Linked DNA regions of Alligator mississippiensis. The protein of the gene in region 4 binds, or shares a complex with, the protein of the main gene of each other region. Links are inferred from orthologs where the notes say so. Each region holds a gene or a part of one and is shown on either strand. Other genes may lie near its edges. The genes, in order: SIRT3, MAPT, NFKBIA and SFN.

Region 1 (7,111 bases), on a different chromosome or scaffold from region 4:
ACACAAGCTAGCACCAATGAGAAGCAGAGGGATGTGGAGAGGTAGGCTCCAGGTGTTACCTGGGTTTGGGAGATTAGAAATCCCATCTCTAGCATGGCCCAGATAAGCACGTGCAAGAGGAACAAGGTGTTACCTGAAATCTGGGATGCCACTGGGGGTACTGATCCCAGCTCCAGCCATCACCACCACCCTGCTGCACTCTTTCTTCTGAATTAATTCTGCCACATTGTGTAGGGTGAGCTTCCGCTTCCTGCTGTCACCTCCCCCTCCACTAATTCCAGAGATGCCTCTGGCCGTAACAGATAAGGAGACAGGTTTTACTGCTGGGATCCTGCAAGGGGCAGAGAAAGAAATACAGCAGATCACAAAAGGGCTGAGGATTGTAATCTCAAGAGTTCTGGAGAAAGCCCAAGGCTGATCTTCTAAACTGCAGATGTGTGTGTTTTTCTTGAGTAACCCAAGGTAGAAAACTTATCTTAAGTTCTCAGGAGCACATCCACACCCTTCTACCTGAGGACCTTAAGGCACTGAATGGTTGTTAAGCCTCACACTATGTCTTTGTGGGCATGTCTACACGAGATGCTAAATGTGCAGTAGACTAATTCTACTGCGCATTAGTGCATCACAGAAAAAGCCGTGCTATTGTACTAACACGCAGTAGAATTAGTCTACTGCACATTAATGTCACTAAAAAGGTGTGTGCCAATGCTACTGCACAGTAGCACCAGTTACTGTACATTCAATTAGTACCTGATACTGCAGGCACTAATTTTAACGCACAGTACCTACAGCACATTAATGCACGTGTAGACATGCCCAGTACAGGTATTTGGGTGAATTACAGAGAAGGCACAGGCATTAAGAAAGCTTTGAATCTCCAAATCAGCATACAAAGCCTCTGGTTGGACACAGATTGGAAACCTTTTTTGTGTCACAGCTCATAAGAAGCACCTGACTGTGTTACATACTGCTGTGATGTGTACAGCTGTTGTCCAGTCTAGGAACTGCAGGAACTACCACTGTGGCCTGAAGGAAACCCTTGACCCTTTTAGAGTCCCCTCAAGGGCTGCCTCTTGCGAGGGTCAGTGTGCACATGGCAAGCACCATTACTGCTCAGCCTTATGTGTGGAAGGGAATGAAAGAATTTATAATCTCATATTATATAAGTAGCATTTGTTTGTGCAGGATGATACTGCTGATCCAGAGAAAATCTAGGAATGAGAACAGAGCCAAGGGGAAGCTGCTGGGATTTATGACTCATGGCAGTGTTAGTAGGCCACAGTACTGCTGAATGTTGCCTTCATGATCTATTTTTATATTGCCAAACCCATGCTTGTTTGATCGTTGAGCTGCTAAAACCAGTGTCCAGACCCTGGCAGTAGTCATTATTTCTCTCCATAAACCTGTTTTCTGTTTCATACAGTCTCCCCAAATGCCTGAGGTAGCAGGTCCCATGCCTCACCTAGCCTGGCAGCCTGTGTATTTAGATGATGGGTGCTTCCTGTTCCAAGCACCATGCTGTAACATATTTTGTGGTATCCGAAATGTCTGATGACAAAAGTCTCAACCTCCTGGGGGTGGGTATTTCTGTGACACTGAGAAAGCTGGATACGCCCCTGAGATAATGGGACGTTGGTTTGTGGGGAATTTGTGTCAGGATTATGTGGCAGAGGGACAGCGAGCAGTATGAAATGAGAGATCAGCCATACCTCACCCTGGAAGCACAGGCCATCTTCTCTCCAGCCCATGCCAGAACTCCCCTCTGCTGTGAATGTCCATTTGTGAGGGTGAAGCCAAATCCCAAGGAAGGCACAGGGTCATTTCTGGACAGCACCCTACTGTGATGATCTCCCTGAGTGCATATCCAGAGACTCCTGCATGCTGAAACAAAAGATACCACAGTCTGGGCCAGGTGACAAGTCTACTCACTGGAGAGGTTTGGCCCAATTAGATGGAATCTCTCCAGAAAAACGGAGAAAACACAGTCAGCTCCGTGCACTGATTAAGTATTATTGATGTAGGTGTAACTTCACTTGTACACAGCATTAAAAAAAAAGGCACCTTCAGATGAACAAAGCCCACCAGGGGCACTTTTTGTACAAAGTGGACATTTCCTTGAGGCACCATATTCCATGCACACTTAGTAACTTATGGACCACTAGAAACCCTCATGGAGCTCATGTCTTAGGCCAAGAGCCTTCAGATAATCAGGTATGGTTACAGCAGTGGTTCTCAACCTTTTTAGATTCAAGGAACCCCTCGTTAGACTCACAGCACCTCTCAGAAAAGGTCAGGTTTTAGCTTTCACCTGATTTTTTACTACAGACCAATAATATAAGTTTTTATGTTGCAAAGAACTCAGAAAGACCACAACAGGTCAGAATATTTTTAACACTGTGGATTCCTATTAGAAACCTCAGGGTTTCTCTTGCAGACCATATTTGGACACCTAAGAGTGCCAGTGTTGTGTGGGACCCTGCAGCACCCTTGAGAGGATCTCAAGGCACACCAGAGTACCAAGGCACCTTGCTTGAAAATCACTGGGCTACTGAGTTAAAACCCTCTCCCATGCATAGCACATCACTGACAATGATCTAACACACATCAACTCTCCGCTCCACACTCCCTACAGTCCTCCATGCTCCGCAGTCTCACTTGCCACCCTCCCCAAGTCCTGTCTGAACTCTACCTTCTCCCTTCGGCCTCTAAGGTCAAAACACCAATCTCCTGCAGTCACTTCTGAACTTTGTCAATCTACTCATTTTTGCTGCCCCCCAAACTCCTACCATTTCCCTCATTCTGATCTTCAGCCTTCCCGAAACCTGCAGTCCTACTCACTCCAGCACTTTTCAGTCTCAACTGAATCCGCTGTTTACCTGCAAATCCCGGATGACTCGCAGGAGGCAGCACATTGCCAGCAGCGAGGACTCTGAACCGTACGCCCAGGTTCATTCCCCTTCACTCGCCTTGTTGCAGAAAGCGACGACTTGTGCAATGTGGCTGAGAACGAAGGAGGTTCCTGTGGTTGCTTCTCTGCTTTCCCCTTTAGAGGCTCTGGCAACTGAATGCCCTTTTGGCTGCAAGGAGCATAGCAAGGAGCAACCTTTGCACTGGCTATTACTATTGACCCCGGGGCTGGGGCAGGGGGATCCAGAGCACAAGGCAAACCACCAGTCTAGTCTGTTTGCTCACAGTCTATCAGAGCCAGGCACAGCTAAGAAGGTCTTTACCATAATTTCCCTAATACAAAGGCTTCTATGTTAGACACATCATAGACTGTGTTATCAGAGCAGCTCTCCTTCAGAGGCAACCGGGTTGCAAAGTGTTTATTACACCACTGAAAGGGAGGGGAGCACATCTTGCCTGTTCAGCAGTGCTCAGGGCAGGGAGGGAAGAAAAACTTCCCCATTCCATTCCTCCATTGCAACTTCAGGGGGAGGAATTTAGAGCTTTGCTAAATATTGGGGTTTTTATTTGGCTAAGATCAAGCGTGTTGCAGGGCATCTGAACTCCCAGGCCTCTGAGCCTGGGACTGGCCCGTCTGGATCTGGGGAGTATCTGAACTTCCAGGCCTACGGGTTGGGCAGGTAGGCTACTGGCCCAATTGAAGTGATGTAGCCCATAGATATTTGTAGACAAGGTTATTTGATTTGGTATTGGAAAGAATAAAAATGGGATTTGATAGTGAGTCCCTCGGTATTTGAGCAGCCCTGGTTGCAGGAGACAAGTGATTGGGGAGAATCTCAGTTTTCATTTCAAAATAAGTAGATTTCTTGCACTCTTGGTTGGGGAGGAAACTATCTGAACACTTCCTAGAGGCACAAAAGCCAGAAATCAGCTAAAAAGTACCCCAAATATGTTGGCCGTTATTTTTTAATTTTTATTTTTTATAACTCATAATGTCATGCTGGTGTGCAGTTGTTGGAGGGTCGCGGCTCATGATTTCTGAACTTTTGAAGTTTGGCATACAAAACGTACCTTGGACAGAACGTAAACCCCTGGATAGGAAAATGGCCAGGACATTGGGATAAACATCACCAGGTCCCTCAAAATGTCACTGGGTCTTTCGTGTCCATGAGTCCCCTGGACTTTGGTGTAATAAAAAATATCGGATTTACCCAAAGAGCCTCGTCTGGACGTTGGCGCTGTCTCATCGAAAGGATGAGCTTTCGTTGTGTGCTACCACCAACCGGAGAAACAATCACGGCTCTGCACATTCAAGCAGCGGCGTTATCAGTGGTCATCGGGTTAGGTCTGAAGCGAGGCAGCCCATGTATCGGCGCAACAAGAGCTTCCCTGGCTTTGGCTCCTATCCATTTTATCATGTTGCAAAACTACCTGTGTACTTCCCTCTGCCAGTCCATTACTGCACCATTACTTCTCCCTTGCAGAGCTGTGCGTTCGATTGTTTTTTCCCTACGAAAAGCTGCCAAATATGATTTTACTGATTGTATGCCCCTGCTTTATGTAAACCGTGTCCTCCAAGAGCATTTACTGCCCTTCTCAGCACCTCGGTATTGTCCTGGGCGACACGCTCCTCGAAAGGTCTGCTTTGGATCTGCGCCAGAGCCTTGCCCCGGTATCAAAGCGCCCGCTCACGGGACACGCAGCACCGGGTGGAGGGGAGCCCGCCCCGCCCGCGGCGCTAGGCCCAGGCCATTGCCATGGCTACCGCGGGTGGTGGTTGGGAGGGGTTGAGGGCGGCACTACGCGGAGCCATACGGTACCCATCATGCCCCGCGCCAGCGGAGGCCGGAACGGGATGCTGAGCTGCGGCGGGGTGAGGCAAAGCGTGCCGGAAGTGAGTGTGCATTTCCGGCAGCGCTGCTTCCGGTTCCTCGCACGAATTCGTCGCCCCGGCTCCGGCCGCCGCCGCCGCCAACATGAAGGACGTGCCGGGCTTCCTGCAGCAGAGCCAGAGCTCGGGGCCCGGCCAGGCCGCCGTGTGGCACCGCCTGGAGGAGCTCTACAACAAGAAGTGAGCGCGGGGGGGGGGTGACGTAGCACGCCGGCGGGGGGGTAATACCCCCCCAATTGAGCCCCCCCTGTATTGAGCGCCGCGCATGCGCACTGGGGGGGCCGGCGAGCGCTGGTCTCCCCTGGGGAGACGTTGGAGCGGGGCGTTCGCGTCGTGCAGCGCGGGGGACGGGGATGGGGATGGGGACGGGAGGGCCGACACGTGCACGCATGCACATGGACACAGCCATACGCGTGTGTGGGGGTGGACTTTGTTTTTTTTTAAATCAAACTTCGGTCTGTGATACCCAGCCCTTTGCTGTCTCTGGTGCTGGTCCTGGTCCCCCTGGAGTGGAGAGCAGCTGTCCCTGGCTAGGATGTGCCGGCTTTCCAGCTGCTCAGTGTGACACTCTGGGCTGCACACCAGCCCCATGGTTGCCAGCATAGTGGCTAGCACTCTGGACTCTGATTTGAGCAACATGGGATCAAATCTCAGTGGCACCTGCTCCCTGGGCCCTGCATGAGCCTTCACCCGATTTGCTTCCCTCGGTTTGACATAAGGAAAAACTTCTTTACGCATCAAGTGCCAAGGGTTTGGCACAGGCTCCCCCCAGGGGTGGTGCAGTCACCCACCCTGGCGATCTTCAAAAAGCACCTTGACCCCCATTTTGCTGGGGTCATCTGACCCCAGCTGTCTTTCCTGCCCAAGTGCAGGGGGCTGGACCTGATGATCTGTAAGGTCCCTTCTAGCCACCAGCATCTATGAAACTGTGATGTCATCCGTCACAGGCAACAGAGGCTTCTCTGAGCCAGGCTAGAGATGGCTCTCTTCCTTCGTTCGGAGCCTAGAGGCTGGTTTAGCAGCTATGGGATTACCGGCAAAAGCAAACCAGCATAAAAGAGGCTGGGTGGGACACAAAGCTAGTAGCCTGCAAGCTGGCTGCGATACTGGACTGCTCAGACTAGCAGCTGAAAGAGCTGTAACACGTGTCAGGGTGTTTTTAAGCCTTCCCCAAAATCCTTGGGTGTTGACAGCTGCCAAAGCTGGGGATTTGGACTGGAGTGCACCAGTGCTCCTGCTGGGGCATAAAGCCAGAGGTTCCTGGCTGGAGGGTCTTTCCTCTGCTCACGGTCAGACTGATTCCCATATTTGGGATCAGGAAGGAATTGTACTCCCTGGTCATACTGGTACGGACTCAGGGGCTTTTGTGTTCTTTGGTAAGGCGGGGTGTAGCCTTCTATCTGGGATCTATGGAGCATATATTAGCAACCTTTTATAGAAGCAGGAAGTTGGCAGCCGTGGTTCCCCTGCTTTACCTGTTTGGGCAAGTTAGGGTATTAGGTCTATGTTGTGTCAGGGTTGAGGGTAGTCTTACGTAGTTTCTATGCTGGTTTGGATAGGGATGACCATGCCTCAGGCAAGGGGGTTGGACCTCTGGAGTGAACCTTCCAGCCCTACTTCTCTTACGATTCTATGATTAAAGTTAGAAATGACCCTGTTGTCATTTATAGATTCACTGAAATGGGCTGTATAATTACGCAGGGCATTTCGGTGGATGTCAGGTCTGAGGTAGTTGCTTACTGTTCTCATATTTGCTGAGGATGACTTTGTTTTGTTTTCAGACTCTGGCATCAGCTGACTCTGCAGGTGTTGGACTTTGTGCAGGACCCCTGCTTTGCCCAAGGAGATGGACTCATTAAGGTGAGTCGGCTGGTTTTTCTTACGTGGTTGTCACTGTAGATGTGATGCTAAAGAAGGTGTTTCAGTTCTTTCTAAGTACACTCCTCTGTTTGGAATGGCATGAATAATTATTGTGTAAATGTCAACAAACATTAAATGTACCAGACTGAACTAGTGGTTCTCAACCTTGTTAGGTGCCAGGCATCCTTTGGAAAATGCCAGCTCTTAGTTTTCACTCATTTTTTCAGTAAAGACAAAAAACAACAATTCTGCTGTTGCAAAGAGCCCAAAGCGACCACAAGTCGAAATGTTTTTGACACTGGATTCCTATTTGAAAACTCTGGGTTTATCTTATGAACCCTAGGTAGATGTTTGCACAGCCAATGTTCCTTGGCACCCTTAAAAGGATCTCACAGCACCCTGATTGCGAAATCACTTAGATAGTCATTGGTGGTCAGATTTTAATAGATGTAA
Region 2 (7,781 bases), on a different chromosome or scaffold from region 4:
ACATACAATCTTGGTTTAAACACATCACATCCATTTATAAATTGATCAATGAGTAATTAGTCTCACTGTTTTAGGTTACATTTTGAAGGGTTAGCCATTTGATTTAGCATCTTTTACCTGTGTAGGTTCTGCATGTGTATCAGTTGCTTCCTAACCTTCTCTCCAATAAACTGAATAAGTCAAGTTGCCCAAGCCTCTCATTTCAAGACATATCTGTACAATACTCAAAAATAGGACTCGTCAGAATTGGGACCCCATACTACAGATAGGTAACAACTTACAGAGACAGAAACTTAGTCAACCAAGCCCATGGCATATCTGGATATAATAGCATGCTGTCCATTAGCATGAGTGCTGAGACTACAAATGTCATGATTCATCAGCATTTAAACTGTGAAGGCTAAAATACATGCATGCTTTCAATCCTTATTTTACACTGAAGACAGTTCAAAAAGGGTGAAAACAGCTAGGCTTGCAACTAAAGAACAAGAAAATGGATGGGAAGGGATTCAAGTAAAGCATCTTTGCACATATTCTTCCATCCAAATCCCAGCCTTCAACTTGCCCATGAAAACCACGTGCAAGAAAATCCAGCACTTCTAGCTAAAAATCAGCATGGACCATCTTCTGGTCAGTCCAAACAGCTCACCTGGAAAAACTGCACATAGCACAGACAATGACTGAGAATTTGCCCCTCCACATAGATTTTGTCGAGTCAAGCACTGTAGATACATTATAAAAAAAGCAACAAAATGTGTCCATAGTTTATTTTTAAATTCCAATGACAATGGTTTTTAAATATTCTCCCCACCCTTATTACAAGAGCCTGTAATGAAGTTGGCCATAAACAGGGAAATTAACAAGCCTTTTTTCATTGTCCACTGTGCAAAAAGCTGCAGAGAGCCTGACTGCAGCATGAAAAATTTAGATTATTAAAGCTAAGCATCTTAAATCTGATTTATGAGGAACAGAGGTTAAATAAAATCTGTACCTGATGTCTGCATTTCAGGCATGCCAATGAGCTTCTTTTCATCTCCTTTGCAGAGCTGTTAAAAAGTCAGCCAGTGTACTGCACAGGTAGATGAATTGGATCAGTCAGGCAATATGCTCTGAACAGACCACTGAAGTAACAGAAACCTTAACCCGTTTCTGCAACACGTTCTAGGCAGTTCATAATGACAGGCTAAGTCTTGGTTGCCACCGGAGTTCTACCCCACACAGAGGTTCGGTAAGCCAAAGGAAGGAGAAACGACATGTAGGATGATGGCAGCTGCCTCCCAGAGAGGCAAGGTGGGGATCGTTCTATTTTTTGATGTGATTAACAGTACCTCAAAAAACCCCACATCTCTTTCCTACCCGAACCCTCCCAGACACTCACATTCTTTGGAAAAGAAGAAAACAATTAGCATTCCACCTCCTTGGTCTCAAATAAGCCGTCTCCGCTTCCGATGAGTTTAACAGTTCAAATCTAGGTGACCAGGTGCAACATGCTTTGTGCTTACTACAATGAAGTGGCTGCCAGTATCTGCCAAGGGCTTTCCCTTTCCATTTACAAACAGAAAAAGCAAAAAAAAAAAAAAAGAGAGAGAAGACTGTCTCATAAGAGATGGAAAATGACCTTGGGTGGCACAATGTTTAGAAATGGGGTTGGACCCACATTCCTGTGTCCAGGGTAATTCCACAGTTAGAAGTAATTAACAGTATATGGGGGAAAAAAAAGAGGTAACAGAAACAGATCAATTTTAGCATAATAGAGAAAACCACTCTGTGAAGAATGAGGATACACATACTGGCAGACAAAGGGGTTTCTCCTCTCCTTAAACTACAGGAATATACCACAATCTTTACCCATTCAATGAGAATCACACTAGGCATCCATTTATGCTGCCATACCAGGGGCGTGACCAGCTGCTATACAGTATACTCAGGGATTTTACAAGACCATTTCAGACAGTGATTTAGAAAAAGCATGCAAGAGAGAAAATCACATACGTAATCCTAGTGAACCTTGCATTTCTGTAACCCCCCCCCCAAAAAAAAAAAAAAAAAGCAGAAAGGAGCAAAATACCTATCAGGGATTTGCCTGCCTATTGTAACCCTACTCATGGCTATTACTATCATTATCAATTGCATCAAATAAGGTGATTCAGACACTGTGCATTCAAAGGGGTGCTCCCCCAAGGCTATAGGAAACCTAAGGCTCAAGAATTATAAACATAAATCACACAATGCTGACCAGCGCTGGGCAACAAAGCAACCTAACTCCTAGACACGATGACCTAAATCTCTCTCCTTCCCTCCCCCCTCGATTTCTACGATTAAAAAGAGACAGCGGCATGCAGGGAGTACCTTTTTTATTTCTTCACCTGACAACCCGAAGGCAAGCGTCCCCCCACGTTAAAAGCAGGATTCTCCCTGCAATACCGAGGATGTGACAGACTGCAAAATATGGCACCTCGGATGTAAAAAGGAAAAAAAAAGCCCATCCTTTCTCTCTCTCTCTCCAGATCCACACCTACTGCAGTACCCACAGCCAACCTCTCATTCGCCATCACCACCACCACCGCGGCCGTCCCCCCGCCAGGAAACCCACCCTGCCGCCGGGAACGACTCCCCAAAATACTGGGAGACAGGAGGGGGAACGAGAGGAGGGGGGCACCTCCGCCCTGAAATGCACGGCTGCCTGGGCGCAAGGTGCAGCAGGGCGGGCAGGCGGCGCCCACCGCTGCCGGGGGCAACAGAAGCCTTCTGCCACCGAGACCCCGGCGAGGGGGGGCCCCGCCGGCGGGCTGGGGCTCACGCACCCCGCCCCGTTTTGGAGGGGGAAAGTCTCGCAGCGAGCGGGGCTGAGGCGCACCCCCCCAACCACTATCGGCTTCTCTTCCCCTTGCAAAGACGCTGGGCTGGGGCTGGGGCCGGGCAGAGGCTGCAGTCCCAAGCCTCCGCGGTGGGGGTGGGTGTGGGTGCCCGTGCCCGTGCCCGTGCCCGTGCCCCCGCCCCGGGCGCTCACCTGCCCGCGGCCGCTGCAGGAGCTGGTGGAGTGGCGCGCGCAGCCGGCAGCAGGGGAGTGACAGCCGCGCGCTCCGGAACCTTCGCCGAGCCCGCGCCGGCCCGGGCCGCCGCCAGGGGGAGCAGCCGCGCGCACGAGCACCACAGCCAAGCCGCGTACGCATACGCAGAAGCGCCGCCAAAGAGCGCTCCAGTGCGCGTGCGTACAAGCGCTGCACCCCACCCCGCCGCCGCTGGACGCGGGCGCATGTGCAGAAAGCGCGGCTCTCCGCCCTGCTCCTTTGTCTGAGAGAAGCGGCTTCTCCCCGCCCGAGGATGGGGCACAAACGCAGGTGCGCAAGGCGTGCCCGAAACCGAGCCTCGCTCTAGGCGGCTGGAAGCCCCAAGACAGGGTCACTGGCGGCCTCCAAAAGGCCCCACAGCCCGGGGTGGTCTCGTCACAGACGGGCGCAGCCCCGGTTGGGGGGCCGTGCAGCTCTTTCTCGAAGTTAGGCAAGGGCGCGTTTCATCAGAGCCACTGGTGATACGTAGGGGGTGCATGCAGGTGTACGTGCACCCCCTGAGATTGGCAGTGCACCCCTGCGAAGAGCACCACTGATGCTGCCAGTGGCACTTGCAAGCAGTCGCTGCTCACCGTCCCCCTTCCCCACCGCCAACACGGTCTGCTGGTGGTCCCTGATCGCCACTGGTGGCATCTCTGGGTGGTTGCCAATTGCTGGTCAGGGCTTGCCAGCCACCCATGCCGCCAACACCACTGTGGCAGGCTGCGGGAGCTCCCTGCTTGCCGCCACAACACCCCCGCTGCTGCTACTGCTGCCACCTGCCCCCCCCCAGCCTCCGGGGGGCACGCCGTGTTTATGATGGGAGCACAATTCATTTGCAGACACCTCACCCGCTTTCTACCTGCCTCAGGTGAGGCAAACGTATTGCGGGCTCCAATCTCACTGACTTTTTATTAAGCACGTCTCTCCCTGAGAACTGTTGTTTCACATAAGGAGCTTGAACACTGACCTTTGCTAGGTGATGATGATGATAGAAAATCAGGGCTGGAAGGGACCTCAGGAGGTCATTTAGTCCAGTCTCCCACTGGAAGCAGCATCATCCCTCTCTAGACCTGCTGGTGTTTGGTTCACCTGGCTCTTTAAAAAATTCCAGTGTTGGAGATTTCTCAACCCCCCCCAGCAGTCAGTTCAGTCCTTACCTACCCTTACGCTAGAGACGTTCTTCCTACCATCCAACCTAAATTCTTTTGTTGCAATTTAAGATGTTTATTTCTTAAGACTGTCCCACAGGGGACAAGAGATTGCCATCCTCTTTATAACAATACTTCATGTATTTGAAGCCAGATCAAATCACTCCTCAATTTTCTCTTCTCCATATGAAATAATCCCAGTTCTTGCAAGCTTTCTTTGTATGCCAGGTTTTTCAGACTTCTAATAATTTTTGTGGCTCTCACTAAACTCTTTCCAACTTGTCTATGTCTTACTTGAAGATATGCAAGGACATATTTAATCAGGGCATGCAACAGCAGTCAAGGTAGATGGGACAAAGATCTGGACAACTGTAATAAGGGCTACACCAGATCAAAAGTATGAATGTAGTATCTGGACCTGCTGAAGGTAATTCGGGTCACTTCAGGATACTCCTCTCCCCTGGCAAAACAGGAACAGTGATCATGTCAACATTATGGATCCGTAAGATAAAAAGAGACCTACCTACCTGGCTGAAAATGCATTCATTATAAGATGCTTCTCCCCTGTTAGCAAACATTATCTGTCTCATTCCATTTGCCTTAAAAACAGTTTATTTTCATCCAAGACCTTTTTTTGATCAGGCACTGGAAGAGGAAGAAAACCGCAGAACTCAGGTGTAAGGTAAGGAAGACAAGCATACCAACTATACAGCTCAACATACTTAACAATTTCTAGATCACTCAGATATTAAGAGAAGTTGCAACAAGCAGAATACTGAAGGGCCTAATTAACAAAAAACTGTTAGGAGGATGGGCAATATCCCATAGTCCTTTTGCAACTCACCAAAAAAAAAAAAAAAAAGAGTTGGTATGGTTGTGTCTATACATCTCAAGGCAGTGCCCTGCAGATATATAACTAGCTCTAAACTAGTATGGAAGAAAGTCTGTGCACTCCTCCTGGTGGTGACAGGTTTCAGAACCCTAACCAAAGAAGTGGTCCTCTACAAACACTTGACCAAACAACAAGGGGCCCCATCAGTTTATCTCTTGCTTTAGGTATGCCTTGTGGAAAAGCCAGGAACCTGCTCATCAAGAGACACTTGGACCCCACAGACAAGGACTGTATTAAAATGGGGCTGAGTGAAATGTACTGGTACTACACAAAAACAGAAGAGGACAACGGAAAAGAAATGACAGACCTCATCTGGTGGAGAGGAGACTGCCATTAACTTTTTCAGAGGCAAACCCTCTGAAAGGACAGTGGGTGAAACTACTGGAATGGTGATGGGCATTGGCGATGTGTAGGGGGTGCATGTGCACCCCCTGAGCATGGCATTGCACCCCTATGAAAAGGTGCTGCCGACACTGTCACCGGCACCTGCGGGCAGTTGCTGCCCCCACCCCCAACCACTGACACTGATGCAAAAAAAACTGAGTTAGCTTTATGACTGTCTTATGCCATTCAGACATACCCTATAAAAGCAATCCATTTTCCTGTCAGGACTCACACATACATACATACCTTGATCAAGTATGACCATGATCTGCTGAAAGACAAAACTGTTATGAAGATTATGGTCAACTATCCTCTTATTCATCAAAGAAAAAACAAATCTTCAGACAAAGGATATCAGTGAAGGTCTCTATGGTACACCTAGATCTGAAGCCAGAATGATAAAGCTCCACAGACATATAGTCAATTCTCCACTTGAAGTCTTTAAACCATGATCAAATGACTTTTAAAAATATTCTCTAGTTTAACCACAACACATTTGCCTGAGGCAGGAATTCTTGTTGAATTCTACACCTATGTTATGCAAGAGGTTCTAGTAGATCAGAATGGTTTCTTCTAGCCATAATATGCACAAATACCAAAGAATCTAGATGATGCTGAAGATGGATCACTACTACATTCTTTAAAAAATCACCAAACTATTTTTTCAGTATGAAGAGTATGGTTTCTTGAGCAAGATCCAAACTCACATTTGATTTAAATTGGCAGGTGTCTTCCCTTTACAGGAAGGTATGGACTTTTCTCCACAAGGAGGAAGCAAGGTTTTGCTAAGCTAATGTCACCAAGCACTTTCAAAACCAGCGAGACTAGAATGTAAACCAATCTCCAGAACTGATATGATGTGAAGGTACCAGACAATCTGTCATGAATTACTCTTGTCTTCTCTGAAGTTAATGGGAAAATTCTTCAGAGAGAAATATTTGACCCTGCTTCCATTAGAAGGCAATCAAAACTAAAGAGGTTGCCTATCACATAGCACATTTCAATTAGTCTAGACTTCATAACACAAAGAAATCTCCTTAGTCTTGCTAGCCCACGGACATTATAGAAACATCTGCCATTATCAGTTGAATTCGGTATGCATTTTCTTTCAGTGGGCATTGCAGTTTTCTTCTTGTTCCTTTACCTGTTGAAGACCAGCTCTAAAGTACAATGCCTTGTAAGGATATTGGAGGAGAAAGGTGCCTGGGAGTATATCAGCAACCATAAGAAAAAACATTGATATTCAGCCAATAGGTCTTAGTCTCAGCCAACAGATCATCTAAATAGCCAGAATATTGAAAAAAGGGGATGGGTCTAGACCTCTTTGGCTTGGAGAAAGTGAAGCACTCGTCAACTTATGACAATGGTGAGATCAACATATCTTTTATATCAATTAACAGATACAGCACATGTCCACCCAAGAAGTCCATGCAATTGAAGACAGCCCTTGGACCAGATTATTTAACAGAGACAAATTAAATTTTGATACCAGAGAATAACTGCTTTTGGAAGACAGATTCTATTTTGCTTTGGACACCTTCAAATATATAATTAATGGTTACATTAATAGGAATTTTTATGTTATGCCTCCAAAGCACTGCCAGTTGCTTCACGGTAGGCATGCATGTGCTAGAAAACTTTTCCATACAGTTTTAAAATCAGTGGAACTAAGCACATTTTATCAACAGTTATAGCCAAGTGTAGATTCAGTTTTAGGCAATTTGACCTGTTTTACTAACCCAAGTAAAATCAATCCCAGAGTTGCACGCTACTACAAGGGCAACCTGGAGAACAGAAAACCCAGGCGATCTTGTCTCCAATCCTTCATTAACAACTAGACTATACTTCCCTAATTAAAAATATATATAAAAAGGGAGTTCTGTATCTGATTAACCCTCATGTCTCCTTCTGGCTTTTCACTTCTATTTTTCATCATAAATTCTTTTCCCCTGCATGACCTCTGTCAGAAATCTGTTCTGAGACCATAAGCTTTCTTTTGATTTTCTCTTTAAAGATTCCCAGGGAAAAAAAAAAGAAACCTTAAACCAGTCTAACAAAGGATCCCTCCTGCAGTTTCTCCACAAAATCCAATTACAGGGAATAAGTAACCATGAAATACCAGACAATAATTCCATTGAGGGATCTCTGTTAAGTTCATAAACCTAAAAAGCATAGCCTGAGAAGTTTGTCCCTAGAGCCCAAGTGGAATTTCCCTGTCATTCACTTATAATTTTTTAATAATATCCATCACAAAGACCCATGTACATTAACCATGTACCTGCAAGAACATAATATTAACAAATA
Region 3 (7,790 bases), on a different chromosome or scaffold from region 4:
AGAGGATGGTCTCTTTGACTACAAAGAGACCTGTCCTGACATTTAGAGGCAAACATTCCACTGTACTCTTGCTCTCTAGACACCTCGTGTACACATTCCTGTATATCAAATGCATGTTCAGGTAAACTGCAGTCTGTCTTCATACTGATCATATATTAGGACAACCAGTTAACTGAGAAGTGGTGTAATTCGTCACAGATTTCTACTGATCTTCTACGTTTCTCCCATAATTACAATGCAGCTCAGAACATGAATCTTGCTGTTATAGTCATGTGCTCTGTGCTGTACAGTGTATTTCAGTATTTTTTTTTCACATTTCTCCATTTTTTTAAAAGAAAGTAAGTCTCTGTTATACATATGTACAGACTCATGTCCTTTCTGAGAATACTCCATTTTATAATGCCAACTGTCGTCCTCCAATAACGCAATCATCATACATCAGCTAGAAGGGAAAAGGAAGAGTATAAGTCAATGCAATACTTTTATAGGAAACACTCAGATCTACCCAAAGCAAAATCAGGTCAAGCTCTGCTAGTCTCAACCTCAGTATCACTGCTCACACAACTAAGGTAAGCAGAATGTAATCTTTAATCTGAGATGACTTGAACACCAACATTCAATAACAACCATATAATTTCTTAAGGCTGTATTGTACTGTAACATTAGTTTTATCACTCTTCTTTCCCTTAACAAGATCCTGATCATAAAGAAATAAAAGTGCAACATTTCACAGCACTTTGGAATCACTGTGAATTTTGCTTCATTAAGGCCCATAAACAGTGATCCAGAAATGACATCTACATTTAAGAAAAATTATTGCAATAGGACTGGGTGTCTAGTACTCAAGCCCTTACTACTGGATTTCTAATGCTGGCTATTGTAACCTCTTAGTCTGCCTTGATTGTATATGATTTATATCCAGTGTGGTAACAGACCAAATTTTGTATCCCACCAAAATATCACCTCCCAACCCTAAAACTTAAGGGCATCAGGTGTGCATATTTCCAACAACTTTAATGGAGGCAACTTGCATAGAAGGTCCTTTCTGCAATAAAAGGTGAAAATAAATACTTACTTCATCCTCTGTAAATTCTGATTCTGATTCGCTGCTTTCCTCATCCTCACTTTCTGGCAGCATTTGTAGGTCTGCTATGGTTAACTGCTTCAGCTGTTCTTGTATGATGGAGCTGTCTCTTCCCCATGTGAGCTGGTACGGAGAATAGCCTTGGTAGGTCACTTTATTCACATCTGCCCCGTGTTTCACCAGAAGTGACACCAGCTCTGAATTCTGCAGGTCTACAGCTAAGTGTAGGGCAGTTCTGCCATTACAAGGTTCCTGTTCAGAAAAATAAAATAGGATATTTAGTCTCAGGAGTTAAGTGTGACAATACAGAACTGTGTGTTCTTATGGCTGTGCTATCACATCCAGTTAAACCAAGAGCTTCAAATACCCACCTGAGCATTGACATCTGCTCCTAAGGACAGCAAACATTCCACAATAGCCAGATACCCTTGAATAGATGCCAAATGGAGACATGTATGTCCTGAAAGGCAAACACATTTAAACATTAATTACTTCCCCCATTACACATTATCACTCACTCAGATCTAAATTCCTTTCTACCCTATATAATATTTTGGTATTTGAATCCACTGCTCCAAATCAAAGGCGAAATTTTTATGTGAACCAGAGTGCTCATAGAATAGGAGGCTCACATCAATTTTTTGAAGAACCTTATTTCTTAGATGCTTTACTTAAAAAAAAACAAAACAAAAAAAAAACAAAAAAAAAAACCCAACAAAGAACCCAAAAAACTGAAAAAAGTCATCTTGATTTTCCACAGTAGCTTGTTTAACCAAACAAGAAAACATCCAAAATGTCAAAATTAAAATAATATAAGCCAAAAAACCAAAAAGAAAATCCCCACAGCACTAGATGCTGGAAGTTCAAGTGCCAAGAGTCAGTGGACAGAGCAAAGACTGGCAGGCAGAACTGTGACTTATCCCCAGCTCCACTGAAGAGAGACTTTAAGGAAGTTCCATTCCTGCCTCAGTTTCCACATCTGTGAAATGGGAATGACGAGGCTGGCACGTTTCTAAAACTCCTTTGGTTGCAAAAAGCCAATGCCCTCTCTAAGGGCTGTCTATTCGAACTGGCGTAAGCTGCGAGCAGCGTACCATTGTAGTTGGCAGCCTGCAGGATGGCGTGCAGATGGTGCGCCTGGCAGTACTGTGTGAGTACCCCCACGCTCCTCAGGGAGCCCTGCTCACAGGCGATGTGCAGCGGCATGTTTCCACGGAAGTCCCTGATCTCAGGGTCGCATCCGGCCTTGAGAAGGGCCTCGGCGATCTCAGGCTGATCCGTGATCACGGCCAGGTGCAGCGGCGTCTGGGGGCCAAACAGGACAAGAGTGGGATCAGCCAGGTGCCAAACGCAGAGCAGGGCCCAGCCCGAACCAGCCCAGCCGCCCGACCCGCCGGGCCCAGGGAGGAGGGGCAGGTACCTGGCTGAGGTGGTTCTGCAGGTCGAGGAAGGCGGGCTCGGCCCGCGCCTGCCGGATGGCCTCCAGGCTCAGCGCCAGCTCCTCGTGGATGACGGCCAAGTGCAGGAACCTGCGGGGGAGGGAAAGTCCCGGTGAGGCGGCGCGTTGCGCAAGGCCGGGCTTTCCGGCGCCGGCCGGGGCTTTCCACACGCCCTGGCCGCGCTCCAGGGACTTTCCAGCGGCTCCACCCGCCCGCCCCGGCCTCCGTGCGCGGGGCCCCGGCCCCGACCCCGACCCCAATCCTGGCCCCACTTACGAGTCCCCGTCGTCTGTGAGCTGGTGGCGCCAGGCCGGGGCCGGCGCGGGCTGCGCGGCGGGCAGCTGCAGGCGGATGTCGCGCAGGTCGCGCACTAGCTGGTCGTAGTCCTCCTCCTTCATGGAGTCCAGGCCGCTGTCGTGACGGTCGTCCAGCGCCGCGCGCTCCTTGCGCGGCACCATGGCGAGGCCGGGGCCGAGGCCGAGCTCGGGGCAATACGTAGGGCTGTGCATGGCGGAGTTACGGCTACTCACGGCTCCGACGCTGCCAACATCTGCGTGCGGGCGGCGGGGCCACGGCGCGGCATTATAGGCGCGGGCGGAGGCGGGGGGATTTCTGCGGGGCGGGGCCTGCCCGGGAATTTCCAGCGCAGTCACCGCCAGGCCTGCTGTGCTCGGCCCGGCCTGGCCTTGCTGCTGCTGCAGGGCGGCGCCTCGCCTGAGGAATCCCCTGGCGGGGCCGAGCCTGGGGGTTTTTTCTGTTCAGCTGCAGGGGAAGGACGTCCCGGCTCGGCCTCGGCCCCGGCTCTCCCTGTGTCCCCTCCTTTGCGCCTGGGCTTTCCCTCAAGCTTTCCCTCTGTGGCAGGGGGCTCCGTGGCGCTGGGCCCCCTCCCCGTCCCGGGGCCCACTCTGTGCCCGGCACAGGCAAGTGGGAGCGGAGCAGCTAGCGCAGCAGCCGGAGGTCCTCGGTGGGGTTCTCAGGCCTGACTTTTCTGGAGGAGGCGGCACCAAAGCAATGTCTTGTCCTCAAGGCTGGACACAGGCATAGGCAAATCAAGCGACTGGGCCCAGACAGAAAGGGCACAGTAACGATTATTATTATCATTATCTCTAGCACAGGGGGGCCCAATACTAAAAGTTTGCCCAGGGCTGCCAGGAATCTAGGTACAGTGCTGCGCTGCCCTTCTGGTCACAAAGCTCACTCAGAAGCAGGGGGATGACCTGGCCAAACTCACTGTGACATGCAGCTCCCCTGAGTGCCACTCAGGCTGCAGCAGGGGCCTGAGCTGTGAGGCAGCCGTGATGCTAAGCAACTGACCTGTTGTGCAGGTGGTCCTGAGCTGCCCAGTCTGTTCCATGTCAGTTTGGTAACATGGTACTTCGGTAACAGGCTTTTGGTTTCATTAGGTTAGGACAAATGACACTACTGAGATGTATGGAACAATGATTGCACAGATAATAAGCCTAGCTACCCCGGACCTCAGAATTGTCTGTGGAGTCTGACAAGCTTTTCAGAGATCTACTTTGCGCAATTGCAGACTATAAACTCTTCTCTACTTGTGCAACCTACTTGGTACAGGTACTCTCTCTAGGGGGATTCACCTTTGCCCTCTGAAGTTTGTACTAAAACTCCAGCCAGCGTCAATGCAGTCAGATGAGGCATAGATAGAGGAGTTCCACTTCCATTCCTGTAGGTCTAGTATCAGTCAAAGGTTAAATTCACTTCTTTCCCAGAGCATATGTATTCAAAAGAACAAATGCTGTTCAAATTGGGAACAGTGACTTCTTTTAGCCTTTATGCTGTTCACATCTCTCCTTTGCTGGAAGTATCTATTGTGTGCAGTGACATTCACTGGTAAAGGAATAACCAAAACCAAAAGCTCCTAGATTGATAAAAGATACTTCTAGCCGTACTGGCAGACATGTAGAATTCAACAAGCTAGTTTGGCTGGGATCATTGACAAAGCTTGCATTTTTTCCTCAGATTTAGGGGGTTTTCCAAGAGGTTTTTTTCTGCAATTGTAGCTGACGACACTGAGTAATAACATCTGAGAATTTTCTCTCGTCTTCTTCCCTTGGGATGGCATTCCTGTGAAAACATTTATGAGAAAATCCAAGGAGAAGTGGGGGGTCAGTAGAGAAGGCGCATATGATACGCCAACTTAATTTTCAGGCCAGAAGTAACATTACTGGACTTTTTCCACACACTTATAAAAAGTAACAATATTCGTCACTAGGCCTTGGAGAACCCAGTGGTGGTTTCTTTGGGCAGGTTCATAAAAGTTCCACAACAGTTTCTTTCTTAATTTAAGAGGCATGAACCTTCAATGTGTTTCTTGAAACAATTTTTCTTCTTCATTTAAATCCTTAAGCAGGAAATTATTTTTTAAGGAAAATCTCTCTAAGTAAATTGAAACCATTGCTCTACAAAGACTAAAGATTCTTGTTTAAAGGTGAATCTTGCCCTTGTTGTTATGATGGAGGAATAATACACAAGAAGAATATGGAACCCCACAATCAGTTTTGCCAGAATCAACATAAATTTTAACATTTCACATTCCAGTTTAAATGGATGACTTTGGAATTAGCAAAATACATTCTCCACTTCCTTCCACAACTGAAGTTGTACAGATAACTGAATCCCTGGACATTCTAATTTTGTTCAAGTCTTCATCTTTAAGTAAGTTTCATCAGTTTGAAGCAAACATAGGTGTTAGAAGAAGAATGGAAAATTATTTCTTTATGGAAAGTCACATCAGGGTTAACCTACTTCCTGCTCTATGGAAATGCAAATGCCAAGTTCTCACAGATGTTTCAGGCTATCATATCAACTCTTTAAACAAGCAAAAGTTTAGTTTTTGGAGGTTCCAGTACTAAAGGTGCAGAGCTGCACATTACATGATCATAACAAACATCAAAGCATGTGAAGTTAGATATTTTGAGCTCTCTGAAGACAACCTCTGCTCTAACTACATATAATATATCTGAGCTTCTCTGTTAACTTGATTCACTCAGTTGTTAAGACATCTGTGTTGCTGAGTGCCTCCAGCTTAAGTAGCAGCTTCAAGACTTGATTTCTTTCACCTATAATTGCTAAGTATAAGGCATCCTCAATTTAAAGAGGACAGCTGGATTGTTAGTCAGGGCATATAGTGACATCTGCTGGATCTTTGTGGAGTATCATTTCAAAAGGTTTGTTGGGACTGAGCGGGGTGAGGAAGTACTTCATATGGTAGCTGTGACTCAATATAGTCTTGCATTTTAGTGCTCATCTAAGGAAGATTCCAGCTAGGTGCAGCATAGGAAACCTGACCAGAATTTTTGCATCTAAATACAGCCCAAACAAGGTGATTGAAGCTTTGGGATTTGATTGGACTCGCACAGCATAGAATGTTGTGATTAGATTTGTTCATAGTGAGAGAGGTTGAAATTTGTTGTTATTATTCATAGTAGCAGCAGTAGTAATAGCATATTTGGTTAAACCTAGGGGAGTCAAACACAGACTGGGACTCCACTGTGCCAGGTAGACCAAAAGACCATCTGTTCTTCAAAGAAGTTAGAATCTCAGTATATGAGAGACAATAGATTAATTCAGATGGATGGATGGAGCGATATTTAAAATGAGATAACTATCACAACTAAAGACATATACAGAATACAGTTTTACAATGGTACAAAATTGTATTAAAGAAAAGATTTTAAGCAGTGATGCAGAATATTGACTCTTTCAAGCATAAGCATTTTTCCAGTAGGTTATTTATAAGTTTTCTTTACTGGGTGCAAGGATAATTGATTGAAATGGAAACAAATGAACTTTATCACCATTTTCTTAAACAAATATTTGTACTTTTAGCTGTGTGGGCTATATTGCATGCCTATTTTCACAGGCAGACTACTAACTCAATATTAAAGTTTGGGACAGAGACTTGGATGGGGATTTCAAATGGAGCTGAGTGGGTGGGTGCAGGGACACAACCAAGGTAACTCCTGCTCTCTCAGGGGCTGAGAGTCTAACTGCAGCGCGATGCAATGGGGTAACCTTGGGAGAACTGAAGTGAGTAAAGACACTGAGGAATTATGGATGCTGAGAAACAGCAGCTGAAGGAGAATTCAGGCTTGGTACAAGTGAGACAAAGTCAGTGGGAATGGGAGTCATTGACACCAAGCTTGAATTAATCTTAAATCCTGATAACTCTCCTCTTTTGATTATCTCTTGTCTCACTTTCTCTATTTTAGCATCTATGAAACAATTTCAGTGACATTCATCTATTCCTTATCTGCTCCTGTTTGAGAGGTGATTCTGACCTGGTGTCATTTTCAGCTCAGACCAGTACAATACTTTCCATGATGAACTGGCTAAAGGGTGAAGTGGTATCTCATTCAGAAAAGGATTTCAGAGATCTTCTAAGTGCCTTGGTTTTCCCTGTCACATGGGGATAATAATACAGGGAATGCTTTGTGGAGAAGCTACTGCTTATATGACTCTTTGGACTTGTACAAAGCTCTTTAAACAACTCTGTGAACATATATCCATGAGAAATAATATTACACAAAGTGGAGAAAAAATATGATACCTAAAGGCTGGATTCAGTAAAACCTGTTCACCTCTGGGTGGCCTGAGAACTCAATTTTTAGTATCACTGTGCCAAAGAAACCATATATTTGTATTGACTCTAACTCCCTTAAAGTACCTGAATGAGACTTTAAAGCAGCTTTGGGGGCTAGAACACTGAAAAGAGACAGCATGATTTTCATCAGTTTTAAGGTAGATGAAGTGTTCTCGTGCCACTTCCATGAGCAAATGCATTAGACTGTGATTTCCTGATTTCCACTTTAATAGTAAGAACTGTCTGGTGCTGTGACTGCAGCACTTGTAATTTACCAGAGTTGGTCCCCCAACTATGTCCCTGCTGAGACCTTTGTGATTATCACTGCCAAGATCTGTTAACCATTTCCTCCCACTTAATCTCATGGGCTATGCAGGTTGGTAACAAACATAACAGGAAAAGGCAATTTACACAATACATCCTGGCCTTGGCTGAGGGTTAGAAAAAAGGAGCCAATTAGAGGTTAGTGAAGGGTTTGAGTAAAGCCTCCTCTTTTGCACAGCTTGGCAATCTGAATTTGTATGTGGGGTGATGCATTTACAAACGTGCTTTTCTAGAGGTCCCTTTTTCCAAAGACGAAACTTTTGTGTACTGTCTGTAAAGCACCAAGTGCACTGTGGGTACAGTGGAAATAATCCAGTAAGAACTGTCGTTGAGATAATAT
Region 4 (6,595 bases):
TCCAGCCTGGCTGGAGTTTTGCAGAAGGTTTAGGACTGTAGCTTGTAGCTTCTGCTGCCTCGGTCCAGGGCTGCAGCCACCCTCAGCCCCCGGAGCCCCCGCGTCACAGGGCGCCGTCAGCCCTGGGTGGAGGAGCCCTTCTCTGGAGACCGGGCTCTGCGCAGGAAACAAGAGAAACGGCAGCTTTTAAAAGCCACGTTAGTGGGAGAAGCTTTGTGGGGCGTGTGTATGCATGTAGGTGCCTGCACACGTGTGCATGGGCCTGTATGTGCACATGGTGCTTGGGGCGGACAACGGGCTGGACAAAAGCAACCGATAGCGGCCCTGGAGGCGGGGGCAGGAGTCCTGCTTACCCAGAACCGAGACACCGGAGGCCCAGGAAGGCTCTGCTCCCCCATCCCCTCGTCGCTGTAACCGGATCGCCCGCTGTGCGGCTCTGGTGGGGTCCTTGCCTCCTGCCGAGGCCTGCCCTGCGGCACCTCGCTCCTCTCCCCGCGCCCCCACCCCGCTACCCGCACTGACAGGCAGCCTGGCATGCACAAGCCTGCCTGGAAAAGCCCCGGGCCTGTGCCGTGCCGAGACATGTGCACAGCTGGAACCCCCTCGCCCCTACCCAGCAGCAGAGAGGCATGTGCCAGGGGGCACGGGCTGCACCCAGCCGCTTCCACAGCACCAGGCCCAGCAAAGAGTAACGACCAGGACGACCGAGGCAGGGGGCAGGTGAAGTTTTATTGGCAGGGACAGGCAGACAGCGGCTATGGCAATACAGACACAGGCAGCACCACGAGTTTATCATTCTTAACCCGCAAGAAAGAATCCCTCCCCAGGCCCCTCACCTCCAGCTTTCTCCCACCAAGGCTCATGGCAGCGGCGACAGGGACCCCGCACAGCACGCCGCAGGAGCGATGGCCAGGTTCCCAGCTCCTCAGATTCCCCTGCTTAAACGCCCTGAAGAGTGGGGACCCTTCAGCCCTTTGCAAAGGGGTGCGGGTGGGGGGGGCCTAAGATGCCCCCTTCCATACACACCCCCCATGCTAACAATAGCATACAGGACGCTGGGCAGGACACCGAGTTAGCAGCGCTCTTCTGTAGCAACAACCACCCACCAGGGGTATCGTGGAAATCGGGATGGGGCCGGGGAAGGGGGTTTTGTCCCGAAGCTGCCTCGGGGGAAGGCAAGATAAAATGTGCGAATACCATACGCGCGGGCACGTCCCCTCTGCTAGCAGGATCCGGGCTGTGGAGCCGAGACACGTCTGCCAAAAAGGGGCCGAGAGGTGGGGAGCTCGCCGGGCCGCGGTTCAGTTCTTGGGCTCTTCCCCGGCTTCGCCGCCATCTTCTCCCGCGCACTCGGCTGTCCATAACGTGAGGTTGTCCCTGAGCAGCTGCATGATGAGGGTGCTGTCCTTGTAGGAGTCTTCGTTGAGCGTGTGCAGGTCGCCCATGGCTTCGTCGAAGGTGGTCTTGGCCAGCGTGATGGCCTGCTCGGGGGCGTTGGCGATCTCGTAGTGGAACACGGAGAAGTTGAGGGCCAGCCCCAGGCGGATGGGGTTCGTGGGCTGCATCTCCTTCTTGCTGATGTCCATGGCCTCCTGGTAGGCTTTCTGGGCATTGTCTATGGCGTCTTTGCGGTCATCCCCCGTGGCCACCTCAGCCAGGTATCGGAAGTAGTCTCCCTTCATCTTCAGGTAGAAGACCTTGCTCTCCGGATCGCTGGCTTCCGCGATGAGATGCTTGTCCAGCAGCCCGAGCACGACGTTGCAGACGTTCTTCAGCTCGCCCTCGATCTTCTCCCGGTACTCGTTCACCAGCTGCGCTTTGTCGTCGCCTTCCTCGGTCTTGTGCTCGATGCTGGAGACGACCCTCCAGGCCGAGCGCTGGCACCCCACCACGTTCTTGTAGGCGACCGAGAGGAGGTTGCGCTCCTCGTTGGACAGCTCGTCCCCGTGCTCCACCACGGCCTTCATGAAGTCGGCCATGTCCTCGTAGCGCTCGGCCTGCTCGGCCAGCTTGGCTTTCTGCACCTGGTGGTTTCGTGCCATGGCTGGGAGCGCTGCTGGTTGGAGAAGGAGCAGGCGGTTGTCCTGGGAGCCCTCAAAGTCTGTCTCGGTGCCGCGGACGGGATTTGCTTTTGGCTGAGCGTCTGAGCCTGGAGCAAGGGCTGGGTGCCGCTGAGAAGCCTGGCTGAGCCCCTCCTCTACTTCCTCCTAGCCGGGCAGCTCCTTAAAAGGCAAACGGCAGTGACTCACCTGGGAGCTCACTAACCATGTGCCAGCGAAGGGAGGAGACATCCAGGTCCAGCAAGGCCTCCACCCTGCCGCCTGCCAATCACAGGCTGGCCTCTGCACTCCCGGCTCCGGCACTGTGCCCCCCGCCCTGCCCCACCCGGCCTGTCGCCTCACCCTTTCTAGGTGGTCGGAGAGCATCCTGGCTGGACACGCACCTAGAGATGGGCTCTTTCGGCCGTGGGAGCCTTGCTCCGCTGCTCAAGCGAGATCAGCCCTCAGGGAGGACCAAGCAGATCTAACCCCCATTTCAGATGCCAGGAAATCTTTCACTGCCGGGGGACTTTAGCTGCCCCCTCTGCCAGGTGCAGATGGTCTCTGCTTAGCACCCCTAGCTCCCCAGCAGCGAGCGGCTATGCAGCTTCAGCCTGATGAGACATACCTTGTCTGACCGCAGAAAGCTAACACGATGCAGCCACTTCAAATACCAAAAGGGCTCGTTCCTCTGGGAGCTGGGTCTTTGTGCAGCCGGGGAAACCGAGGCAGAGAGAACAAGTGACTTCTCTAAGTGCAGAGAGGGCTTGTTTTATAGGTGGACTAAGACTGCACGAGCTTCGGCTCCCGCTGCTGCGCTCAGATCACATCACATCCCCCCCCCAGTAAGCTCGATGCCCTCTTCTGCTGGGCCCGTGAGCAGACTTGCATGACAGCACCGGCTCAAAAAGCCTTGAGAAGCATGTGGCCTTCCTCCAGGGGAAAGGGGGAAGGTTTGTGGGCAACAGGCAGGGCATAAGACACCAGTCATGCTGCGCTCATCTCTTCTACCCTGAGAATAAAGCTGCCTATAGAGGAGAGGAGCAAACCAGGAGCGTGTGACTGAATAGGGTCACCCCAGTCCGTTTGCTCTAGTTTTGGGGACTGCTTCAACACTAAGATGCTTTATCCTCCTCCTTCGGGAGGGACAGCGCCTTGGACAGCCCAGCCTGTGTACCAGAGGTGGGTGCATGTGGCTCCGTGCAGGGAGCAAATGGGCGTGGGGGAAGCGGGTGTCCAGGCCCATCTTAGACCGTCCAGGGCAGGGATTGGAAAATGCAGCCCAGGGGCCAGGTGCGGCTCGCCAGGCTATTCTATCCGGCCCGCAGGGCCACTAGCGCAAGAGCCTGGTGGCTCCCAAAGCCAGCATCCTGCCCCAGGGCCTTGCGTGCGAGGCAGGGACAGCGGCTTCTGCCGAGAAGCCAATGGTTTCTCGCTTTGCTACCGGCCCGGCTCAAAGCCTCTTTGATGAAATAGGGAAAAGGGACCGTCTGCGGCGCTGCGCTGCCTCTCGCCGTGATGTGCCCTGATTAGAATCTCCTCCTCCAGTTACGCTGCAGTTTCACTCTCAGACTGATTAAGCTTGTTCCCACTTGCTGGGAGCCGACTGCTCCTTTCTGCTGCTGCCAGGACGCGGCGTGACAAACTCATTGCGCTAATCCTCCACGTTATCCGCTGCGGGGAGGGTGGGGCTGGCAACTCAGCTGTCCCACTGCGCCGAGGAATTGTTCTGGCTGCGTGACTCACGGCGCTACTCATCCGTGCGCAGAGCCCTGGATTGTCTCCCCCCAGCTGACGTCTGAGCCCTTCTCTGCTGAAAGGCCCCGGTGACACCCCAGTGAGATCAGACCAGCTCGCTGCTGATTTGAGGGGAATGCCGTGACCTAGCTACAGCGCTGAATCCCTCCTGGATGAGCCAGGGGAGGCTGAGCCCCGTGACGTGTGCTTAGCTTTCCTGGGTGCAATGGGTGCAATTAGCTTAGAGGCCTTCCCCGCTCCCTGAGTAATTATTACCAAGGGATCTGAGCCCCTCCCGGCACCCCGGGGCAGAGCGGGCAGCACAGCGATCCCTGCTGTCACACAGACGGGCACCGAGGCCCAGAACCTGCGAGAGATTTCCACACGCAGCTCCCACGGCCCAACACCGCAGCCTGGTGCCAAAGGGACTCGCCCGAGCTCATGCATGAAATGTGTGTCAGAGCAGGGCTTTAACCCAGTTCTCCCAGGTCCCACCTAGTGCTGCACTCCCTGTCCCGTGTCCCCCCGTCTCTGGGGCCTGAATGCTGCACTGGGGCCCCATGGGGGTGACGGGGACCCTGGTGCTGCAGGCGCCCAAGTAGCCGTGCGCTGGAACCAGCAATGAGTGTTTCCAAAAGAGATGCCGGCAAGTAGCACCCGGCAGGTGCCAGGCTCTCTATGGGGGGAGCAGCCTGCGGGCTGTCAGAGGGGATGCCAGGCCACGTGGTGGGTGCCTACGTGCTCTAGCCACAGCCGCGTCATTCCTTCCCAGGTGTGAATGTCCCCCCAGGTTTGCTTCCCCTTTGGGGGCTCGCCCGCCGCGCGGTAGGGTCTGCGCAGCCTCCTGCCCTGTGCAGCTGACTGAAGAGGAGGCAGGCGAGGCGCCTTTCCTTCAGGCAGCTCTGCGATCCCTTCGCTGCACCAGGGGCCTCGCGGCAGGGCACATGCTTGCTGCATTCGGCGCTGGAGAATTAAACTGAGCAAGCCTGTCTGCTCCCAAGCCCAGCGGAGAGGTAAGGAACAAGCATGGGTGAGCCCCAGTCTCTCTTCCCTGGCTGGAGGGAGGAATTAGCTCCTTCCTGATCTGTGTCCCTGTTTGCTCTGAGAAAAGCCGTGGCGCTGCCGTGGGAAAAGGAAGGGCCCCGCTGCAGTCCGGCAGCCAGTGCCGATGCTGCCACACGCGTCTGCCTCCCGGCTGGTGGAACTGGACCTAACCCAGAGGAGCTGTTCAGAAGCCTCCATTTTAGCAGAGGATCAAGTTAACCCTGAAGAAAAGGGGCTCTCGGGCCTGGAGCTGGTCAACTCGCCTTCCCGTCCCTCCCCTCTGAGGCCAACGCGAGTCGCTGGGCGCACGTGGCAGGAAGAACGGGGCCAGGATGGCACAGGGCTCAGCATGACAAGATGGGCTTGGCCTGGGCTGGCCCCACTTCACCTTCTCATCCCGGGCAGCGCATGGACCAGACTGGGGCACGCCCTTCACAAACAGCTCAGCATGAACGGGAACAATAAGCGGCAGCAAACGCATCAAGAAGGTGCCCAACAAATTGACCCAGTTTGTGCACAGATGTGTGCGCAGAGGCGGGCCAGGCTACGCCCCGTGGCGGTGATGACATTCAGTGGGGCCCGTGGATCAGGCCAGCTCCGAGCACCGACAGCCAGAGCTGCAGACCCGCTCTGGCATTAACACAACAGGCTTCCTACTCACTCCCTCCCGCCCTGGCTGGAAGGCCCGCAGCCCCGCCGCGCCTTGCTGCACCCACCCCTCAGTCCTGCGACGTGCCAGGCTCCCCGGCAGCATGCAACACGGCTTCCCCTGCTGCTCTTGACCCACCCTCGCTCCTCTCTGGACAGATCAGCCCCTTGCCACAGTTATACGAAACTGCAGCTCTCGGGTCCACCAGCAACTTTGCAACAGGGCAGTTGAGAAGGAAGCAGCTGGAGACACCTGTCCCCAGTGTCACCGATTTCAGTTCATAGACATTAGGGCTTGAAGGGACCTGGCAAAATCATTGGGTCCAAGCCCCTGCCCAAAGGGCAGGTAGGCAGCAGGGGGTCAAATGATCCCAGCAAGATAGTTGGATGAGTTAAATAGATACACCTGGGTCTGAAGCAACAAAACCAGCAGCCCCTCACCCCTCCTCCCCCGCCTTCTCTCCCTGCACTGAGCACGCAGGTAGTTTGGGGGAAAAAAAGGCGGACTGATTCCCAGGTGCAGCTCACCCTGCATCCGGTTTCCAGGAAGACCCAGCCTGGCTCTGAGCTGACTGGGAGCACCTGGGGTTTCACAGGGATGAGGCCTGAACAAGTGGCAAAGCTCAGCACCTGACACTTGCACCTAGCCAGGCTCCGGGTGGCTGGGACCAGCGCACAGCAGCCCAGGGAGCTAGATATTCCTGGCTTGCAGCCTGAAATCACTGAGCAGGAGACTTCTCATTCACACCCCACCTCCCCCCAGGGAACACGTGTGCAGTCACGAGCGGCAGAGAAGGGGCACACCTTCCTGGAGGAACAAAAGCCAGGGGTCCGGGTACAGTAAATAGGAGAGACTTTATTGTGTTACAAAAGTAAAAGGCCTGACGCGGTTCCAGTCCCCCGGCCTGTGCGGGGCTGGCAGGAGGCAGGGGCTGGGCCGTCTCGCACTAGCTGCTTTGTAAAGCCTCGCACCCGGTTTGCTAGTGGCCAGAGCGTTAGTGCATTTGCTGCTAGGCACAGGCTCCCGGTAACGCTGACTGCAGTAGCAGGGGGAAGAGGCTGGACAGGGACGGACGCTAGGCAAGCTGCTGCTGCGCTCTACTCCCTTCCCTGAGAACGGGAGCTGC

Evidence for each region.
Region 1: the proteins of SFN (region 4) and SIRT3 are in contact, whole or in part, in a crystal structure (PDB 8ANC), measured with the Homo sapiens proteins. The link is inferred for Alligator mississippiensis from reciprocal best matches to the Homo sapiens genes SFN and SIRT3. Residues at the interface, in NP_006133.1 of Homo sapiens: Asn42, Ser45, Val46, Lys49, Arg56, Lys122, Asp126, Arg129, Tyr130, Pro167, Gly171, Leu174, Asn175, Val178, Tyr181, Glu182, Leu218, Ile219, Leu222, Asn226, Leu229, Trp230; in NP_036371.1 of Homo sapiens: Arg99, Arg100, Ser101, Ile102, Ser103, Phe104, Ser105, Val106, Gly107.
Region 2: the proteins of SFN (region 4) and MAPT are in contact, whole or in part, in a crystal structure (PDB 4FL5), measured with the Homo sapiens proteins. The link is inferred for Alligator mississippiensis from reciprocal best matches to the Homo sapiens genes SFN and MAPT. Residues at the interface, in NP_006133.1 of Homo sapiens: Asn42, Ser45, Val46, Lys49, Arg56, Arg60, Phe119, Lys122, Arg129, Tyr130, Glu133, Gly171, Leu174, Asn175, Val178, Tyr181, Glu182, Ile183, Ile219, Leu222, Asn226, Leu229, Trp230; in NP_058519.3 of Homo sapiens: Arg528, Thr529, Pro530, Ser531, Leu532, Pro533, Thr534, Pro535.
Region 3: the proteins of SFN (region 4) and NFKBIA are in contact, whole or in part, in a crystal structure (PDB 6Y1J), measured with the Homo sapiens proteins. The link is inferred for Alligator mississippiensis from reciprocal best matches to the Homo sapiens genes SFN and NFKBIA. Residues at the interface, in NP_006133.1 of Homo sapiens: Glu14, Cys38, Asn42, Val46, Lys49, Asn50, Gly53, Gly54, Arg56, Lys122, Arg129, Tyr130, Pro167, Gly171, Leu172, Leu174, Asn175, Val178, Leu218, Leu222, Asn226; in NP_065390.1 of Homo sapiens: Gly62, Ser63, Glu64, Pro65, Trp66, Lys67, Gln68.

What each region holds. Positions count from the first base shown.
Region 1 is NC_081825.1:179,439,711-179,446,821, forward strand, and holds the start of SIRT3 (NAD-dependent protein deacetylase sirtuin-3, mitochondrial), read right to left. Parts: upstream 3,232-7,111; 5' UTR 2,953-3,231; coding exon 2,877-2,952; intron 1,882-2,876; coding exon 1,710-1,881; intron 332-1,709; coding exon 134-331; intron 1-133. Other genes in the region: PSMD13 (26S proteasome non-ATPase regulatory subunit 13), read left to right, coding at 4,884-4,978, 6,580-6,658.
Region 2 is NC_081827.1:159,259,633-159,267,413, forward strand, and holds the start of MAPT (microtubule-associated protein tau), read right to left. Parts: upstream 3,189-7,781; 5' UTR 3,174-3,188; coding exon 3,011-3,173; intron 2,458-3,010; exon of another isoform or gene 2,350-2,457; intron 1-2,349. UniProt on the Homo sapiens protein: Promotes microtubule assembly and stability, and might be involved in the establishment and maintenance of neuronal polarity.
Region 3 is NC_081825.1:256,790,616-256,798,405, forward strand, and holds the start of NFKBIA (NF-kappa-B inhibitor alpha), read right to left. Parts: upstream 3,114-7,790; 5' UTR 3,033-3,113; coding exon 2,800-3,032; intron 2,614-2,799; coding exon 2,505-2,613; intron 2,390-2,504; coding exon 2,179-2,389; intron 1,545-2,178; coding exon 1,456-1,544; intron 1,337-1,455; coding exon 1,076-1,336; intron 443-1,075; coding exon 395-442; 3' UTR 1-394. UniProt on the Homo sapiens protein: Inhibits the activity of dimeric NF-kappa-B/REL complexes by trapping REL (RELA/p65 and NFKB1/p50) dimers in the cytoplasm by masking their nuclear localization signals.
Region 4 is NC_081829.1:2,829,621-2,836,215, forward strand, and holds SFN (14-3-3 protein sigma), read right to left. Parts: upstream 2,203-6,595; 5' UTR 2,043-2,202; coding exon 1,302-2,042; 3' UTR 711-1,301; downstream 1-710. UniProt on the Homo sapiens protein: Adapter protein implicated in the regulation of a large spectrum of both general and specialized signaling pathways. Binds to a large number of partners, usually by recognition of a phosphoserine or phosphothreonine motif.